Coturnix japonica: one gene and its partner. The protein of the gene in region 1 binds, or shares a complex with, the protein of each later gene. Links are inferred from orthologs where the notes say so. Each region holds a gene or a part of one and is shown on either strand. Other genes may lie near its edges. The genes, in order: MED12 and MED23.

The links.
Region 2: MED12 (region 1) and MED23 share a complex: the UniProt entries of both Homo sapiens proteins name them as parts of the mediator complex. The link is inferred for Coturnix japonica from reciprocal best matches to the Homo sapiens genes MED12 and MED23.

The regions. Positions count from the first base shown.
Region 1 is NC_029519.1:2,315,073-2,318,891, reverse strand, and holds part of MED12 (mediator of RNA polymerase II transcription subunit 12), read left to right. Parts: intron 1-485; coding exon 486-715; intron 716-1,160; coding exon 1,161-1,241; intron 1,242-1,464; coding exon 1,465-1,638; intron 1,639-1,975; coding exon 1,976-2,120; intron 2,121-3,021; coding exon 3,022-3,140; intron 3,141-3,290; coding exon 3,291-3,434; intron 3,435-3,819. UniProt on the Homo sapiens protein: Component of the Mediator complex, a coactivator involved in the regulated transcription of nearly all RNA polymerase II-dependent genes.
Region 2 is NC_029518.1:51,921,825-51,925,643, forward strand, and holds part of MED23 (mediator of RNA polymerase II transcription subunit 23), read left to right. Parts: intron 1-512; coding exon 513-637; intron 638-756; coding exon 757-868; intron 869-1,618; coding exon 1,619-1,717; intron 1,718-2,257; coding exon 2,258-2,359; intron 2,360-2,583; coding exon 2,584-2,653; intron 2,654-3,819. UniProt on the Homo sapiens protein: Required for transcriptional activation subsequent to the assembly of the pre-initiation complex. Component of the Mediator complex, a coactivator involved in the regulated transcription of nearly all RNA polymerase II-dependent genes.

The DNA of each region.
Region 1 (3,819 bases):
TTGCAGTCCAGAGCACGCTTTGGGGAGGAAGGTAATGCAGAAGCCCGTGTTAGCTGAATGTTGACCAAGAATAAATGAGCATAGGCTAGTTTGGAGTTAATTTGGGCTGAGAGTTTCTAACTTGTAAGTGACAAAGCTCTGAAGTAACCTCTCAGTGTAATTATTACAAGCAGATTAATTAAAGGGGGCAGGATACAATTCTGAATGATGCGGGGAACTGTGTGTTTGTATACCCAGGGATGGCACTTTCAGTCTAAAATCCTGTACCTCTAAATGGAAAGATTTTCACTTCTTTATTTGCCACCTGTTGAAGGTGGGCTTTCTGGTTCTGACTTCTGCTGCAGTCTCAGAACTGTGTATCAGTCACTTAGAGTATTGAGATCTCTAGAAATGCTTTCTCTGTGGGTGTAGGTGTGGTATCTGCTGCTGCTCTTAGTGTTACGGAGGAACTCTGATAGCACTGTCTGTCTTTGCTCTCCTTTCAGCTGATCCTGGGAAGGAGAATGAGAAGGTGGAGTTTTTTAACCTGGTGCTGCTGTTCTGTGAGCTAATCCGACATGATGTCTTCTCTCACAATATCTACATGTGCACACTCATCTCCCGGGGTGATCTTGCCATGGATTCTCATGGACCTCGTCCTCCCTCACCCTTTGATGACCCTGCTGAGGAGCATGACAGGAAGGAGACAGAAGGAAACAGTGGGATCAAGCTAGAGGTGAGAATACAAGATACGCAGCTCTTTTATGTGCTTCCTCTTGTTCTGCTTCTCCACTCATACCAGCTTTGCAGACTCCTTGCTATTACTTGCTGGAAGATGGACCAGTGACTCATGTTTCTCATTTCCCCAAGCTATTTCCTTAGCACTTCAGTTGCAAAAGTAGAGGCTTGTGTTCTAAGTGGGTAGAAAGGTCTTGCAGAATGTAACAGGGTAGACAGGAAAATCTTACTCTGAGCAGCATATCAAGTGCTATGCAAGGCCAGTCTGTGTTGTCAGGTGTTTGCAGCATATGTGATTCTGGCTGAGTTTCGTTTGCCAGGCATCATCCTTGTTGGCAAACTGCTGTCACTGTCCAACATGGAAGTGGGGTGCTGCAGTAAATGAGTCTTGTCTTGTTTCCTGGTGTATTATTGAGATGTAAAGCTGCTCTGTCTGTTCTCAGGACACGGGTCTCTCTGAGCCTATGGACATTGACCACAATTCCAGCACGATCTTTGATGACATGGAGAAAACAGATTTTTCGGTATGTGCTTGCTGTTTTGCCTGCTACTCATAAGTAGATTATGTTGTGCTAGCACCAGGGACATGTGTGGGTTCTCCCTCTCTACTGTAGAGCTGATATGTTGGAAGTGTCTAACTTGTAAGGTAGCAGACACTGTGAAAAGTTCTTCTTGGCTTCTTTCACCTGTCTTAATTATGGCATGACCACGTTCCCTAACTGATTTGTTGTTCTTGCACCTTCCTAGATGTTTTCTCCTCCAATGCATTGTGAATCTAAAGCCAGCCCTTCCCCTGAGAAACCAGATCTTGAAAAGGAAGCAAAGCCTCTGCTGAAGGACAAGTCTGCAGAAGGAATGCTAGCATCTCTGTATGACCAGCCTCGACACATCCAGTATGCAACACACTTTCCTATTCCTCAGGTATGAGACCTGCTCGTAACCCTTTTCCTGCTGCTGCCTTGTGCTCTGATAACCAGGCTGCTGTGTTTCCCTGCAGCACTACTGTAAGCATGAACCTGACTGAACAGAGTTGAACCTGATCTCTTTCTGTTCTGTTACTGTGGGTGGGTGAGGAGTGCAGTCATGTTTTTCTGCATTGCTGCAGGAGAGTGATCTACTTAAGACACCTCTTTGCTTACTCCCAGAGCAGCTTCTGAGATGAAGCTTTCTCTTTGCTTTTATGAGATCCAGATGTGAAACAAGATTAAAGTATTCAGCTTGATAGTTGCTAATGCAGTTCTTTCTCTTGGTTCCCCAGGAGGAATCATGCAGTCATGAATGTAACCAACGGTTGGTAGTTCTTTTTGGGGTTGGAAAACAACGGGACGATGCTCGGCATACAATCAAGAAAATAACCAAAGACATCCTAAAAGTTTTAAACAGAAAGAGTACTGCAGAGACAGGTCAGTATTGCTTGAGCCAGTCTTTCCAGTTGACTGCCTCCTTTGTCTGGAGTCTCACAATGAAAGGATTTCATATGATCTGCAGTGCCTGGTTGGCTGTATCAGTCACTGACTGTCTGGGATGGTGCTCTGTTCTCAAATAATAATGAGCAGCGAATAAGATTTGTTTCCTCCTGCCTAGATGTGTTCCATTGAATCTACCTTCTTCGGTAGGTGCTTAAGTCATGTCAGTTTCAGAGTGAGACCCTGGCGAAAATCGTGGCATTTTCAAACTTTATTTTCTTAAGCTCTACCATTTAAATCTTTGCACAAAAGCAGCGGGAGCTTTGCCTGTGAATGTTAGGCAAATACCCTGATTCAGTGTAGTGTGTGCTGTTATGCTAAGCATGCTGGTTAGGGTGGCAGGTTTGGATAGTTGTGTCAATACTGCTAGGAAACCTCTAATTTCTATTGATTGAGAATCTGGCTTCAGGATTTTTTTTTTCTTTTTGTTGGCCTGATTCTTGAAAGCCAACTTGAAACATGGTGTGATTCTTCAAAGGTGGCATGCTCTAACAGGCTTCTGGGCTGAGCCATCTCCAGTCCAGAACAACTGTTCTCACCAGGGAGTCAGTGTTTCTTCTAAATGGGGGGGAATATATTTTCCCCCTTCACTCAGGATAAGCTAGATGTTAACTGTGCTGTCATTCTTTGGCTAGAAATTCTTCCCTTGACAGTTTATTGTTGTGAATTCATAATGGTCCTTATCAGCTTACAGGTGGAGGATCAGGTTCTTTGGCCATGCTGCTTGGCAGTGTCTGGTCTTGCTGAGGGCCTGGCATGTGCTGATGACTGTTTTCTATTCCTCTTCTGATGAGGAAGGTAGCCTGATACTATTTTCTAGTCCTCTCAATTTTTGTAGGTGGAGAGGAAGGCCAGAAGAGGAAAAAGAGCAAGCCAGAAGCATTCCCAACAGCTGAAGATATCTTTGCAAAGTTCCAGCACCTTTCTCACTTTGATCAGCACCAAGTCACATCTCAGGTATGAAACCTTCAAGACTGCTGTCCTCTTTGGGCCCTGACTGAATCTCTTTGTGTTACTGAGGACAGCTTCCTGCAGGGAAGAGGTGTTGGGGCTGCTGAGGGGCTTCTGCAAGGGGAGATAGCACAATGTGTCACCTTACACTTGCAGGTATCCCGCAATGTCTTGGAACAGATCACCAGCTTTGCCTTGGGCATGTCCTACCACCTGCCTCTGGTACAGCATGTGCAGTTCATCTTTGACTTGATGGAGTATTCACTCAATATCAGTGGTCTTATCGACTTTGCCATCCAGGTAAGCACAGTGCTGAAGTGTTCCCTGGGGAATCAGTTCATCAGCCTGAAAGGCAGGAGATACGTGCTGTGATAGCTGGGCTTCTGTTAGGGTTCTCTGACCTGTGTTGTGGAGGTGGTCAGAACTGATAGTCATTGCAGTTCTCCTGGGCTGCAGCTGTTAGGAATGGGTTGTTTGCAGCAGATAGTCTTATGTGCCCTGTTGGAATGATTATTCTTCCAAAGGTTTTCAGGGTTGTTTCCAAAGGATTTACATTGCACCTCTTCAGCAAGGCCTTTTTCTGAGTGAGGAGGGGAATGTGTTTCTCTGGCTAGTTTCCTGCCTTCCTCTCCTGGAAGGATCCTTGGTGTGTGACAGCACAGGCTGCCTTCCAGTTCCTGCTAAA
Region 2 (3,819 bases), on another chromosome or scaffold:
ACTTTTGGGGGGCGGTGGAGGGGAAGATCGGGGTATAGTAAAACTTTGAGTAAAGGACAAATCCTTCATGTATAAGGTCTTTTTCCAGTCATTCAAAATGTTACAGGGTTTTTGGTAGAAGTGAGTAAGTAGAAAAAAGAAGTTCAAAATTTACCTTCTAAAGGTTAGATACCTGTAGGCATTCTTTCTGAAATACACTCATCTTCATTTTCAGTGAATTTGATTGTAGCTCTGAAGAACAATATAAAGCAATTCTATTTTATTCTATTCTTTGCTAATTCACATTTATTAAAAAAGAATTGACTGTAGAGAAGTATGACTTCAGTGGGAAATGTTTCCAATATTATATTAAATGACTTGTAAGGAAAACTGGATGTTGGACAACTGGACTTCTAGCATGATGAAACCAACAGGGGATAAGATTTATTTCTTCATAGTGGGACTTTTGTATGAATTTTATTATTTGTTTTACTATTTGTAAATAGTATTTCTTCCCTCTGCTTCTTTTTCAGGAATCCCACGAGCAGTGTGTCCAGTGGATTGTAAGATTCATTCATAGTCAGCACAGTCCTAAAAGAATTTCTTTTCTTTATGACTGTTTAGCAATGGCAGTTGAAACTGGACTTTTACCACCCAGGTAAGCTGCGATGCAGTGAGCTCAATACATGGAAGTTGTAGCGTGAGATTATTTTTGAAGTGTTGCTGTAGAGCACATGCTTATTATCTGCCATTTATTCTTGCGTTGTCTTCTGGTAGGATGGTTTGTGAGTCTCTGATAAACTCTGATACGCTTGAATGGGAAAGGACACAGCTGTGGGCATTGACATTTAAATTGATCCGGAAGATCATTGGAGGTGTAGACTATAAGGTATCTTCCCTATGTTTCTTTCTTTATGAGAAAACATATTATTTACTGGCTTTGTTTTTATGACTGTTTACTTTGTAAATGAAATGTAAAAAAAAAAAAAAAAAGTTCAATGAGACCAGATTTAATGCTTTTTCATAAACGAGCTTTATCTTAGTAGGTAATTTTGTACAGTTATGCAAATCTTCCTTCTCTCAGTTTCTTTTCTACTACACTGTCATCTTCCATCCCTTTATTAGTTACAAGCTAAGTAACTCTAGGACAGTTGCATAAGTGGTACACAGAGAAAAGTATTACTATCAAACAGTAAAGCTGAAGTTTTTGTATCTCCTCTGCCTCCTGTTGATATGTACGAAAAGGATGCTGAAAGCTGAACAAATCCAACACAAGTGGCAGAAAACAAAGTATCTCTTGCAGAGTACTGCCTCACCAGTGCTAGTAGGCTTGTTAAGGCAAAACCAATAGTTCACAGGATTGATCTTTAGGCAGTCTGCATAAGCTCATTGGATGTCTCTGGATGGTCATGAGAATTGTAACAGTTATTACTGTCATCTGGGGTATGCCAAGATTGTGAAATTCCAGAACGGGTTTAATATTATTAATATTCACATTCTCAGTAGCAGTGTGCATTCTAACGTTTAGCATTTTCAGCAAAATCAGGTGTTTATTACTGTCTGACTGCATTTATTGTGATATTTTTCTGCCAGAAATAAAGAATATCAAGGAGTATTAACATTGTTTGTTTTCTTCTAGGGTGTACGTGATCTGCTGAAAGTGATCCTCGAGAAAATCTTAACAATTCCAAACACTGTGAGCTCAGCTGTTGTACAGCAGCTTTTAGCAGCAAGAGAGGTAGTTACCTGAATTTTATATACCGCTATAAAGAGAGACTGGCCTCATTCTTTTGCCACTCATCAGTATTTAATATCCAGGGTGGCTTTTCTTTGGGATTTGGTATAGATCACCAGCAAAGACATTTTTTGTGCTCTAATTGTTTCTGTAGTTGTGTTTTATACCTTTGTACAAGGAGCTTTTGGGGGATGCTGTAGGTAAGGAAGAGTCAGACTTCATGTTTGGCATACTGAGGTAAGCTGAATGAGAGAAGATATTAACTTCTTTTTTTTCTTAATGAGAGAAAGTACTAGTAGTTTTCAGTGTTGTGTATGCAGGTGTAAAGGCACAGATTTACTTGAGTTTAAACAAAGCTAGCTTACACTAGTACAATTAGAAACAGCTATTAATCTAATGTAGTATCAGAGTACAACTTAAGGAAAAGCATATTAATTCTTACTGATATGTATTTTTATGGGCTACCTCAGGCTAGTACATAGACTACATCTTTGTTTATCTTATTCATAGGCTTTTTGCGCTGATATATTTTTCTGCTTACAGGTGGTAGCCTACATTTTAGAAAGAAATGCGTGTTTGTTACCTGCCTACTTTGCTGTTACAGAAATCAGAAAACTATATCCTGAAGGAAAACTTCCCCACTGGGTAATGATGAGATCTAAAATCATGCAATTGGTTTTCATAGAGCAAAACTCTATATGTTGTCTTTTTGTTTGTTTTAATCAAATATAAGAAAATTTTAAAATCTCTATTTTAGTATATTTCTGTTTATCTTACTAAAATGTATAAACAATTTTAGTCTTAAATATTCCTTCTCATTACTTAATGTTGCTGCAACTTAACCTATTTTTGTTCCTCTTCTCACCCAGTTACTAGGTAATTTAGTATCGGATTTCGTGGATACCTTCAGACCTACAGCAAGAATAAATTCCATTTGTGGTAAGAGAATGAGTCAAAACAAGTTAACTATTTTTGTTTAATATGTCAAAATTTTGTTGTATTTTGGGGCATGAATTTACATAAGCAAGATGATTTAAAGCTTTTGATTCATATAGTATACTTCATTTTTCAGTTTATTTTAGGGGTCCCTTCCTTCAGTTTTTGTATTTTGACTGCAGTTGATAGTGAAAATATACTTTTGTTATGTGGTCAGCCATATCATTTCTAACTAGAGTAGACCTTAGGAAAATCATGACTTCCAGTGTAAGGATTTTGAGTTAATGCAGGTCCACTGTTATGTTAGCCATAGAATATTTTCTTATTTCAGTTTCCAATAGAGCTCCTGCTCAGCCTCCTCCCTATTGTTGCAGACAAATAGGGATGTGTAAACATTTCTTTTCTAGTTGAGTACTACATTTTCCATGAAAGAGAAGCTTACCTTAATTTGTTGCTAAAAATAGGTAAAGTTTGGCTGTTTTAATTGTGATGTATCTTGCTGTTTTCTTTAAAAAAATAAAATAAAAATATCTTCTATTACTTGAAATGATGGCTGCATTATATCATAACTTTGAGAAGTTTTATTGCAACCGAAGTTAACTAAGTGACAAGATTAAAGATGTAAAATCATCTATATCATCCCAAAGCATTTTGTTTCCCAACAACATTATTCAACGTGTGAAGAAATGGTTGAAGGGAAGATGTAGATATTTGTACTTTTTTATGTGACAGTAGTATAGTCAGTTTGGATAACAGAAGCCACAGAATTTGAACTGACAGTGTGATTTAGGCCAAAGTTAAGGCACTTAAATTTAGATACTTATTTGCACAAGGGGTTCCGTTCAGATACTTCTGCTTAAGCAACTGAAATGAATCCCAGATGTCTAATCTAGGCTGTCTTGTCGAAATTTACTTGAAAAACTGTTGGTTTGCAGCCTACTGAACCATACGAGCCTCCATTGACTTAGTTGGCTAGATCTCCATTGACTGTAACTGTAGCATGGGCACTTAGATTTAACTATGTTCATCTTGAACAGATACTTGCCCACATCATCTTAGGGGATGAAGGAAGAAAATGGATAGAAAGGTTATATACTTATGTTAGTAATGCAATTTTGGGGGGAAGGGTTGGTTAACCAAAATTTAATCCCTAGTGCAAACAGTGGCAT